3 linked regions of the Lepisosteus oculatus genome follow. The protein of the gene in region 2 purifies or fractionates together with the protein of the main gene of each other region. This does not show direct contact. Links are inferred from orthologs where the notes say so. Each region holds a gene or a part of one and is shown on either strand. Other genes may lie near its edges. The genes, in order: rrp9, fbl and snu13b.

Region 1 (3,752 bases), on a different chromosome or scaffold from region 2:
GGAGTGGCTACGCTTTTGGCTTACTGCCTGTTTTTGTAGCTTCATTAATTTGCATATAATTGCATATAATTGACTGATGTAATGATGTAATGTGTTTCAAAGTCCGAATTTCACAAAGAGCATTTTAACATGTACAAATATTCGCGAGTGTATATTGTTTTACCACTTCTACATTAGTGCTCCTCGAAGTCTACATTTTGAGCAGTTATACTGCAGTAGTAACTACTGTATGTATTTCTGCTGTCTTTTTTACAGTGCCTGAAACACGAAAGTTATCTCTTCGATTTTTTTTTATTTCATTGCAACAGCATTGGGACATTTTCATTCTTTTTAACTATTATAAATGCCCCCACCGCCCCAACTCAAGACCGAAGCTGACAACCCTCTCCTATTCTCAAACCCGAGATCATTGCAAATCCCAACACATTATGCACATCAAACTAGGTTAGGACGAACTCCTATCACGTAGTGTTACTATTTCTATGGACAGTGCTAAAATTTCAGATTTTTTTATGAATAATTCATAACATTGCACAAGGAACGAAATCAGCCTGGAAATCACTTTCGACTACATTTTTATTTGTTGGACATTTTACAATCAAAGAATTCAAAAACATCTATAATGTTTAACAAGTACTGTCCAAGAATTTGCTCGGTATTTCCCGGAACTGTGTTTCTTACTTTTCGTTTCTCACGGTTTCATTATTTCACCGGATGCATTTCCGCCACAACCTACCCTTAAATGTGGTGTAATGTATGCACCAATCGAAATCTGGTAGGTGGGAAAGGGCACGTTGCGATTCAATAGAAAAACGAAGACGGAGTTAAAGTATTTAATATCCAATCAATTACCTGCTTTACTGGAAAGGCGTGGTGAGTGAGGTCCAGTTTGAATGCACGTGGACGGTGCCAATGTGGTTCTAATGTTGATTAACAGACTGAAATATTGAATTCCAACTATTTTACTTGGTTTTTTTTCTTAAAATCGTTAAATAAAGAATCATATTGTCTGGAAGTATGTCTTCCTTCTTCATCAAGAAGAAAGTTAACGCGAAGCCTACTAAAAAAGCGGGCAGTACTAGAGTTATTAAAAGGAAGGTAAGTTTTTTTTGCTACTACTTGAAAATCCCGGTTATGTTTTTATTTAATCTAGATTGCAGATTTTACAGGGTAGTCAAAATAAACAATTTGCTTTTTAAAATCCTATCAAATGAGCACCTTCCAACTATGTGTTATTTCGTTTGGAGTGCACAGGAGGAAAACGAAAAGAAAAACATTAAAATGGATGTATGAATTCTTAAGCGGCGAATGCACTAATATCTTCTAGTTTAGGTATACTTCACTCACTCATTTCAAATCACTGTTGTGCTGTGAAACCGCTATTGCTTGAAGTTAACTGCGAATATCCAGTATAAATGAAGCCAACACAAATTCTTAATAAAAACAGGACGTTTCAGATGCTGACCGAGAGTTATCAGCAATGCGATATATGACCTGCTTGAAACGCATGTTTTGCTCATTGCCTATACATTATTTCAACTGGAAAAAATGTTTCGTTTTTATATAGAAAGGTTCTACAAGGACAGAGGTCTTGAGTCTTCCCATTCCCTCGCCTGTGTTTGCTGATCTCAGAATGTCGTTGCATTGCACAGGGGCAAAATCTATATTGCGACATATGCAATAGCTATGCCTTGGTTTCTATTACTTGATAGAGATGGGTCATTAAACATCTGTGGAATTAGCTCGGACGATTTGTGTCCTGTAGAGCTCACAGACAAGTGAAGAGGCACATTGCATATTCAGACTGTACGAGAGCAATGGGGGCAGCATCTTCGATCTTGTGTCCATGAAACGCAGATGCACAGCTTGTATTCCTTCCGATAGCTGAAGCCCTCCCTATTTTGAGGATTCCTGTTGGTGACAAACGTTGATCGGCATAATGAAGTTACATGTGTCTGTTCAACCAAATTCAAATGACTCTGCTACAGATTACAGTTTTCCTGATGATAACTTTATGAACTTGTTGCTGTTATACGTGGTTTCTTCGGATGCTCAGCAGAGTACGCTTATGTAGTCTGTATGTCATACAGTACGTTACAATGGATGCTTCTAATTCAGTTACTTAAAAAATAGTGTTTTTTGTTTCTCATCCTTTAAGGCTGACGGTGATGGTTTGAGTAAAGGGCGCGCCAAAAAAGTAAATTCTGGAGCTAATGAAGAAATTTCCAGCGAGTCAGAGACAGAAGGGTGAGGTGGATCATTTAAACCTAGAACTATAAGCGGCAGAGTTGGCTTCCAAACAAGTTCTGTCACTTTCAACACAATCACTGTAATCTTTTGTACCTCGAATCAAATTTACTTTGAACATTTACAATGTTCACCACTGATACTAGCCTGATGAAAATGTTGCTGCACCCATAATAAACGGCTTCAGTATCTTCTCCAGAAATACAGACTAAGGTAGAAGGGTCATCTTTTCCAGGCATGTTTTATATACATTCTGAGAAAAGACTTGTGAAAATATCTTGGTATAATATTGTTAGACAAAAGTAAGATTAAAAATAAATTGTCAGCGTGAGTGTTATAATTGGGGATATCAATATTTATCCTTATATAAATAGGTTTTCACCATGGTTATACCCACCTCGGTTAATTATAATTGACTGAAAAAATTGCCACACTGTGAAGATTACGTAATATTTTGATTATCATCAGCACAGCAATTTTGTTATGTAGAAACAAAAGTTTGGGAAATGTGAATCCTATGATGCACGCATGGTGCATAAAAGTTTGGCCATTTTTCAACAAAAGCAGTTAGTTTCCAATTTCCATCCAAGGCTGAACTTTACAAAATGATCAATACAGAAGTGATAACAGAATGACCAGTTAACACAAGTTTGGATTTAATTAGGTTCACAGATTTTTAAACAGAATTCTAAATTTGTGTCAGGTTTTTTGCATCAAATCTAAGATGATGTGTATTTGGATGTTTCTTGTTTTGGCTAAGTTTCAGATCAGTTGATTTACTGGGTCTTATGGAATACTGCTCAGGCTCAGGCCACCTTTTTGTTTTTCCTGCGTTATTATTGCCAAATTATTAACTGGCTAGGATTGTAACTGACAATTCTGAAGTTCACTGGCCTTAGTATTTTTTCACAAGGAAAGCAGACCTGACTACTGAATTCAGAATTGAATTGTCAGTTACCATTGTGCCACATTTTAATTTTATTGTCCCCAGGATTATACTTCTCAAGTTTTGTCTTAACTGCCAAATAAGTTTTTGAACAATAGTAGTTTGACATTTACACAGTGTGTTCTCCAAGGCCTAGCTTTGTAAATCAAGTTTTTCTGAAAACTCAAATCCCAATATGTCAGGGATGATTTCTGTCAAATGTATAATTAAGTAGCTAAATCAGTGTAGAACAGATTACGTCTTGAATATGAGAACAAAAAGGTCTTCATCCAACCATCCTGGATTACTCTGAGAACATTTTGCTTAATTTATTTTAATTGTAGGTGTGCTTGATTGGTAATTATTAAGTGTGGTTATCAGGTCAGTTTTCAGAGAGGAGTGGTTTGCAGTATGGAACATACTTCATCAAGAGTTTGGTGACTCACTGTGAGTGATAAGCAGATTATCACAATATAATTTAAACCAATATAGTTTCAAATATGTCACCGATTTGGGTGTTTATTAAATTTACCACAGTTCAATCAGTGCAGCCGTTCCCAAGACTGAGATTTTGAAATAA
Region 2 (3,752 bases):
ACCGCCTCGGTCCCCGAACCCGCCTCGTCCGCGGCCTCCGAATCCTCCTCCTCCTCGGTCTCCGAATCCTCCTCCTCCTCCTCGGTCTCCGAATCCTCCCCTCCCGCCTCTCGGACTGAAGCCTGCCGGGAGAGAACCACAGGAGAGGGGGTTACTCGCCCCATCGTAGAGCCGCCCGAGAGAACCACACAGCGCAGGGCCTGTCCAAGTGCGTCCGCAGGGCTGTCCAGTCAGTGCGTGTGCAGGGCCGGTCAGTGCGTCCGCAGGGCTGTCCAGTCCTGCTCCTGGAGAGCCGGTCAGTGTGTCTGCAGGGCTGTCCAGTCCTGCTCCTGGAGAGCCGGTCAGTGTGTCTGCAGGGCTGTCCAGTCCTGCTCCTGGAGAGCCGGTCAGTGTGTCTGCAGGGCTGTCCAGTCCTGCTCCTGGAGAGCCGGTCAGTGTGTCTGCAGGGCTGTCCAGTCCTGCTCCCGGAGAGCCGGTCAGTGCGTCCGCAGGGCTGTCCAGTCCTGCTCCTGGAGGAGCCGGTCAGTGCGTCCGCAGGGCTGTCCAGTCCTGCTCCTAGAGGGCCTGCAGACACACTGACTGGCCCTCCAGGTCTCTTAAAGGCAGTATCGACTGGAGAGCCAGGAGAGGCTGTGCAATTGGCCCAGTTAAATCAGCACTCAGCCGGCTCAGCTCCTCAAGAGCTCAGTGGGGAAGAACACCCTCAGACACTCCAGCTGCCCGGGACCAGGGCTGGACACCCCTGGGAGCGATGTAGGGAAGCACTGCAACACCAAAGTGTGCAGCTGCACAAGTCCTCCCCCACCCCCCCACAAACCACACTGCAGGACGGCAGCTTCTCCTGTCTCACTAACTTGTCTTCTAGACACAGGACCAGACCGCCGACACGCTCCTTGACTGGACACTGTAACGGTCTGCAAAGCGCGAGTTCCAATAGTTTAAAACGGGCAGCGGCCAGGCCACCGGACTCATCGGCTGACTCGCACAGGCTGCGGGTCCGAGTCCCAGGTAGAGACAGTGCAGCTGCTGTCCTGTGCGGGTGCGGCACCCCGACCGAAGCGGTAAAACACCCCGACTAAACCGGCACACGTGCGCCTCGCCCTCGACAGACACGCCAGTGTCAACATCACCGTCAGCAGCTGCGAAACATGTACCACGTGGGGCCAATGAACCCGACATGAAAGGGCATTTAAAAAGCGAGAACCGGACGCTTTTCTTTACACGGAGGGAGGTAGGGGTGTGGAACAAGCCGCCGAGCCACGTCGCTGAAGCCGATTAAAAGCAGCTGAAGAAGGTCCTGGGTTCAATTAGCTGTTAAGCTGACGGACTAAAGGGGCTCCTCTTACTTCCCTTACTTACTTTTCAACTGCGAGACACTGACCCGAGCCCGGGAGATCCTCTCCGATCCGTAATCGATCACAATTAGCGCTAGAAGACGCTTTTCGTTTTACAGACTTTGGAACATCGCTAGGAAGCGCACGTTTAAATCGGACGTTTTTCTAAAAGTTCGAGCATGCAAGGAATCGGTCTGTGCGCTCTCACAAGGACCCCACGTCTCCCCACACCAAGCACATGGCCGCGGCACTGAAAACGATCCCCTCGCACGAAAACGGCCATCGCAATCGTTGTGTTGTTGTTGTTGTTGTTTTTTTGGCATTTGGCTTCGCTTAACGCCAAAAGACACCCGCTTCCTTCCGAAATTCACGCCAGAACTCAAATCACGAGCAGGAGAGAGCTACAGGGCCGACAGCAATCCAAGCCAAAACATCAGTTAACGCTGGATCCAAACTGAGCGACGAACTAGTCCAGCACGCTGCGCCCAATACAAACACATTAACTAGCGTCCCAGCTGCTCACGGCAACAGGAACAGCGGGGAACTGTTGAAATTCCGTCTAAATCGTGCACGCCGCGTCAAGTAATCGTCTGGAAGTTACTAAAATGAGCCTAAAACAGATCCTAAACCTCCGGCGTGCGCAGGCCACGACCCCCCGTCCGCCACCGAGAAACTCTCCTCTTCTGCACGAACCAGCTGGCTTTAACTTCGAAATGCGACTTAAGAAAATAGGAGCCTCCGAACAAGGCAGACACCAAACTCGGAGCGGGTGGTCTTTACGGCGCTTGAAGGCATTTTTGCCTTTTATTATCACGTTTTGTTTTCGGAGGGTGATTTGTCTCCGGCCCCGGTGAGACTCGGAGGACAGGAGCGGCGGAGCTCCGTGTTTTTACCTCCCGGGTCGTTTTTTTTTTCCCCCTTTTAACGCGTCAGAGGATCGCGGATCTGCTTACCTGGCTTCATGTTCGCGTCTCGGGATGTATCGCTGCAACGACCTGGGCGCAGAAATCGGATGAGTTGTGTCGCCGCTCCGCTCTCCGTCCTCCGCACTCGGGCGCTCGCTGTCTCTCTCTCTCCTGCTCACACGTGCTGCGTCCGCACCACATGGGCCGGCGGCGGAAGTTCCAAGCCCGCGCGTCCGAGCGCTTCCTCTCGCCGGCGTCGCCCACAGCGCCCCCTACCTCGGAGGACACACACTGCAGGCCGCTCTCCACCTCGGGTCCCCCACAAAGCTGTGTTTCGGGAACTGGAAATACAGCTTTTGGTATTTTGGTATATTTGGAAATACAACTGGAAATACGACACCTGAAGAAGGCTCCACGGCCGAAACGTTGTGTTCTCTTTCTTCTTTTTTTCAGCATGGAATAAACCTATTACTTGTTATTTTTCGGAATTTTTTGTCTTCGAAACCTGTACTTGAAACCCATTGAAACCATCTTCAACTTTTTTTGTTCCGTGCACTTAAAACATCTTATTGTGGCCGGAACTTATTCAGTCTTACTCTAGTTGAAGCTTACACGTAAGCCTAGTACGCTTTACCTTTTAAAAAAGCTCCACCATGGATTTCAAATGAGACTTTGTGCTGTTAAATTACTGTGCCGCCTCAAAGATCTGCGCAAGCTCAGTGAGTCCTAAGTGTTAACTGAACAGGATCTTGTTCAGTGGGATAGGTTTATGAATTGTTAAATGCTATACTCCTTTTTTACAGTTTCGAAATGGTTACTTCTTGTGTATCGTTATCAGTTTCTTTATGATGGCGATGTGATTATAAAAGTATTCTCCTATGATGTTTTAGGTGTTTTGAAATGCAGTTGGGTCGCCCTCTAGTGGACGGGGGGGGAGGGTGGCTCAGAACTGTTTATTTTTACAGTTCGACTAGACTGATATTTCAAAGTTCTCTCGAAGAACATTAAACACATTAAAGCAGTGATACGAACGAGGGCAGTGAGGGACACCGAGCTTCATCAAGGCAGCCAGAACAAGGTGATCGCAGCACGGAGGAACCCATTTTCAGCAATAATACTTTTATTTACAGACCTGATTAATAGAATTGTGCTTGAGCTTTGTTGGATAACACTTAAAACACAGCACTACAATAATAATAATAATAATAATAATAATAATAATAATATGCTCCATGAATCTGTTAGAAAAGACACTGCTTTATGACAATGTAATATGGCACAGCAGAAATAAGTTTTGTTTGCTGAAGCCCCATCATGGATTGAGATTACTGTAGGTTTAGTGGCACAAAGAGTAGATTCTGCTAAAGAGGTGACAGATATTTAGCCCTGTCCAGTACAAACACGAAGCTGCACCGTCTGCTTAACATGAAACCATCCTTCTCAGGGCCTCCTAAAACAGGCCCGCTCGATCCTGCAGTCCAGGCCCGTCTCCGGGGTTCAGACGATCGCAGAC
Region 3 (3,752 bases), on a different chromosome or scaffold from region 2:
TGCCCTTTCCCCTGCTTCCTTCATCACCTCTGCGTGTAACAGAGTGGAGCCAGCAGTCCAGCAGAGCGGCACACGAGACTCGTCTTCCTGATGCAAGATGAGATTAGTAGGAAATGCATGGTCCACTTTGGAACTGGACAGATTCCAGTCATTAAAGGCATTGTTCACTTATACCCCAATCCACTGCAATCCATCTGCCAAACTTACCTTCCAGATGTGGCTTTAGATTTTCCCCCAAGTTGAAGGTCCATTGGTCATCAGGTACCTTTCAGAGCTGCATTGCTACTGAATCTTTAGTTTGAATCTCGAAATGTCATACCCTCTAAAACTTGATCATTTTTGTTTTAAATTCACTGCAACACTGAAACTTAAATTTTATTTTTAATAGTCTAAAAAAAAAACAGCATCCAATTTTTTTTTTCCCCAAGTTACACTTATTCCATTGACAAATACTGTAAACAGATTGGAATGACAGGACAACAGCCAAGTCCATTCACTCTGGGAACCAGGGGCAGAGGATAATTCACTTCATCCCTCCCCAACTATATACATACTTTCAAGAACATCGTTTCTCACCCTCGTCTTGTGGGCCAAGCTAAAGTAAATCAACAGTGCTACTCTGCCCTCTCAGACCAGGAGTCTCTCGATCGCCATCTGCACAGACTGGATCTGGGGCTTGAGCTGGGAGCCCTCCTTGATGGTGACGGAGGTGGCGATGACGGGCCGGGAGACGCCACAGGCGCGGCCCAGGGCCTGCTTGGAGCGCACGAAGACGTAGGGCACGTTCTTGTCCTCGCACAGCAGCGGCAGGTGGAGGATGATCTCGAGGGGCTCGGCGTCGGCGGCCATCACGATGAACTCCGCGATGCCGCGGTTCAGGGTTTTAGTGGCTGGTGGGGGGAAAAACAAGTCAGAAATTTAAGCACAACAGGTTGTTTTCATTTAAATGTACCCAATTCCTTGCACTTGCAGTATAATGAAGTGGGAAGTTAAAAAAAAACATCAAATTTATGATGCACAATGCCAGGAGCTCCTGAAAGTCTGGATGTGCTTAATGTGATTTAAAGGCTCATTTGAAGGACGCTTCAAAATACTGCTGCTGCTGCTGGCTATGTGAACGCAGCAACAACATACGTCCTTAAGACAGACGCAGGCAGTTTTATCGTCTATTCCTGTTCTCCGACATTGTCCAGTTGTCTTTGTGGACCATGCATGAAAGGAGATGCATTTTCCACTTTTATCATACCAGCTGACCTGCTAGGGCCATGCACTTTCCACAGCTCAAAGACCCACAGTCAGGCCCCTGAAGAGAGTGGTTGTGGTACTAAACCAAACTTTTATTCCCCTCTGTTCATGCAAGTTAAAAAAAAAGAGAGCCAAAGAACCATCTAGCAGTCAAGCTAGATCAAAGCACGGGCCTCCTGACCTTCATTGGCTCCCTTCCTCAGCTGCTTGTAGTTGGCTGCCTGCTGCACCAGGTCCAGGATGGTTTTAGTCAGTGTGGCATCAGCCAGGGGGTAGGCCTTGGGGTTCACTTCCGGGTCAGTCTGAGGAGACAGGAAGCGGGTGTCAGAACCCTCGATTAAGAATTCTCCTCGTGCACTCACGGCTCATCCTGTCCAACACTAATGAACACTACTGGGACAACATTCTCACACACTTATAATCACACGCTTTCACTATCTCTTACTTATTCCATAAAAGTAGACTAGATCGCTGCAGAACCGTAAACCCAATCCTAGTCTGGATTAGTGATGAGACAAATAAACACCGCATTAATAAACTGAACCACCCCTCGTTTTTCGAATCAACAAGATTCGTAATAAACCCCAGCCTATTTCAAAACGCCTTTAAAAGGCACGTGATGGAGAGCGCTATAAACCAAGATCCACCGCATACAACCCCACCAGTCCGATTTTAGTGCGCTGTGAAAAACCAAGCCATTCGTTAGCACACAAAAAAAAGCATCGCCTGTACTTAGCCGACAATTCAAGCACGACCATCCAGTCAGCACCGAGACACGTGGTTCGGAGCTCCAGCAGCCCGCACAAACACGCCACCTCTCCCGTCCCCGGCTGCCCCACGGTTCACGGCCACGCAGGCCCGATCCGAGGCGGTGGACGAGCAGGGTGGACCGGAGTCCGGAAGGGCTCGGCCAAGAGAGAGCCACGGCTACACGCCGTGCGAGAGACGGGCTGGGAGTCTGGTTGTCGGCCGCCTCTCCGCGCCGGGAGGGATCATAATTAACCGCCCGGGTCGCTTGCTTACCATCGCTACAGCAGGAGATCAGACAAACGGACAATCTGGGTTAATTCTTGTGTCCTCTCGGCGTGTGCTTCACAGAGGACCTTTCACAAATATGTTGTTTTTCGGTGGTGGTCACAACAGCACTAAGCAGCCCGTCAACGTCCCGCCAGCGTTTATTGACCCCCACAATGCCACAGGAGAGACATGTGCGCGCACATTAATACACTCGGAAGCGGAAGTACGCCAGGAGATTTCTGCGTACCCTTGAAAAGGAACGGCGAGGAAACATGAGCGCATTGACGTTGGTTCTGCTATTGTAATGAAAATATCTATTGGGACCAAGAAATGAATAATCGAATTCTTTTTGCTTAAGATGTATGGAGTCACATTTTAAATTATTTGTTTTACAGTATTGAAAGTATGCACGGAAAACGTCCGAATAAGACTACCTCGGGTAGACACAGTTGAAACTAATATATTATATGGAAAAAACATTGCTTTAAAATGCATCAGAAGTTTTAGAAATCACATCATCATGTGCTAGAGAGGTATATACATTTAAGTCTTGCTGTTTTGTTGAGTGCAGTTGCATCGGGACAGTTAGTGCACAGAGATGAACACTATCATTCTACTCATCGGTCATGTCAATAAAGCATGTTGAATTGAATTGATGAGGAAACTATGCGCTTCGTAACTCAATCTATCCCACCATTCCCCGGGCAAACACATAAGACATTGTTTAAAGTGAATATCGACTGAACATTTCGAAGAAGACTTTAGGAAACTGATCATCATTGTGATTTAATACAGACAAGACGAGCGACAGAAAAGCGGACAAGCTGGGTCGGTCGAGCCAGGATGGCGGGATACGGAGCCCAGTTTCAGAGCCGTACATTAAGCCCCGCAGTGATACCGTGCCACGCTATCTGTCTTCTGATTGGCTAAAAGGAGCGCGGTGGCGCCTGGGTAGGACGTCCGGCGGCCATATTGTGTTCTTGCAGCGGCTGAAGGAGAGACAGTCAGTCATGAAGGGGATTCGGTGTCTAAATCACATTTCAGTAAGAGTCTGCTTATGTCCGACAATTGCCGATTTAAATGAAATTGTTTGGGTCCATTGCATCTGTCCTGAGAATCAGCTTGATTTGTGGCGGAAGAAAACTAGCTGTGTCGTTGAAACCCGGCCTGTGTTGAGCGACATTGCACGGAGTACAGCACCTCAGAGAGGTGTCATTAGCTGTAAATGAAATTAAAAAAGTATTTAAGAAATGTATTCCATCATGACCCAGGCTAACTAAACAGAGTTGTTTAAAATTGCGTTGCCAAATCGTACATGTTCACAAGAAGCGGTTTGCCTTGAAGGGATACGGTGGGCTGGAGTGTCGGAAGTACTGGTTTGTGGATTCTCTAAGAAAGCTGTAGTGAAGGTCATTTATGTATTCCCGTTTTAGCCATCTGACTCGTATCTCCACCTGAGGTCTCGCTGTAACGTGGATGGTCTCCATGAA

The links.
Region 1: the proteins of fbl (region 2) and rrp9 purify together in Homo sapiens (affinity purification with mass spectrometry; 3 studies listed by BioGRID and IntAct, counting the BioPlex papers as one, with this or other methods). This does not show direct contact. The link is inferred for Lepisosteus oculatus from reciprocal best matches to the Homo sapiens genes FBL and RRP9.
Region 3: the proteins of fbl (region 2) and snu13b purify together in Homo sapiens (affinity purification with mass spectrometry; 5 studies listed by BioGRID and IntAct, with this or other methods). This does not show direct contact. The link is inferred for Lepisosteus oculatus from reciprocal best matches to the Homo sapiens genes FBL and SNU13.

Annotation. Positions count from the first base shown.
Region 1 is NC_090699.1:53,426,122-53,429,873, forward strand, and holds the start of rrp9 (U3 small nucleolar RNA-interacting protein 2), read left to right. Parts: upstream 1-836; 5' UTR 837-1,017; coding exon 1,018-1,098; intron 1,099-2,158; coding exon 2,159-2,247; intron 2,248-3,752. UniProt on the Homo sapiens protein: Component of a nucleolar small nuclear ribonucleoprotein particle (snoRNP) thought to participate in the processing and modification of pre-ribosomal RNA (pre-rRNA).
Region 2 is NC_090722.1:9,619,360-9,623,111, reverse strand, and holds the start of fbl (rRNA 2'-O-methyltransferase fibrillarin), read right to left. Parts: upstream 2,455-3,752; 5' UTR 2,298-2,454; coding exon 2,288-2,297; intron 123-2,287; coding exon 1-122.
Region 3 is NC_090714.1:16,498,007-16,501,758, forward strand, and holds snu13b (NHP2-like protein 1), read right to left. Parts: upstream 2,465-3,752; 5' UTR 2,272-2,464; coding exon 2,269-2,271; intron 1,548-2,268; coding exon 1,427-1,547; intron 891-1,426; coding exon 628-890; 3' UTR 369-627; downstream 1-368. Other genes in the region: cytochrome b-c1 complex subunit 2, mitochondrial, read left to right, coding at 3,273-3,305.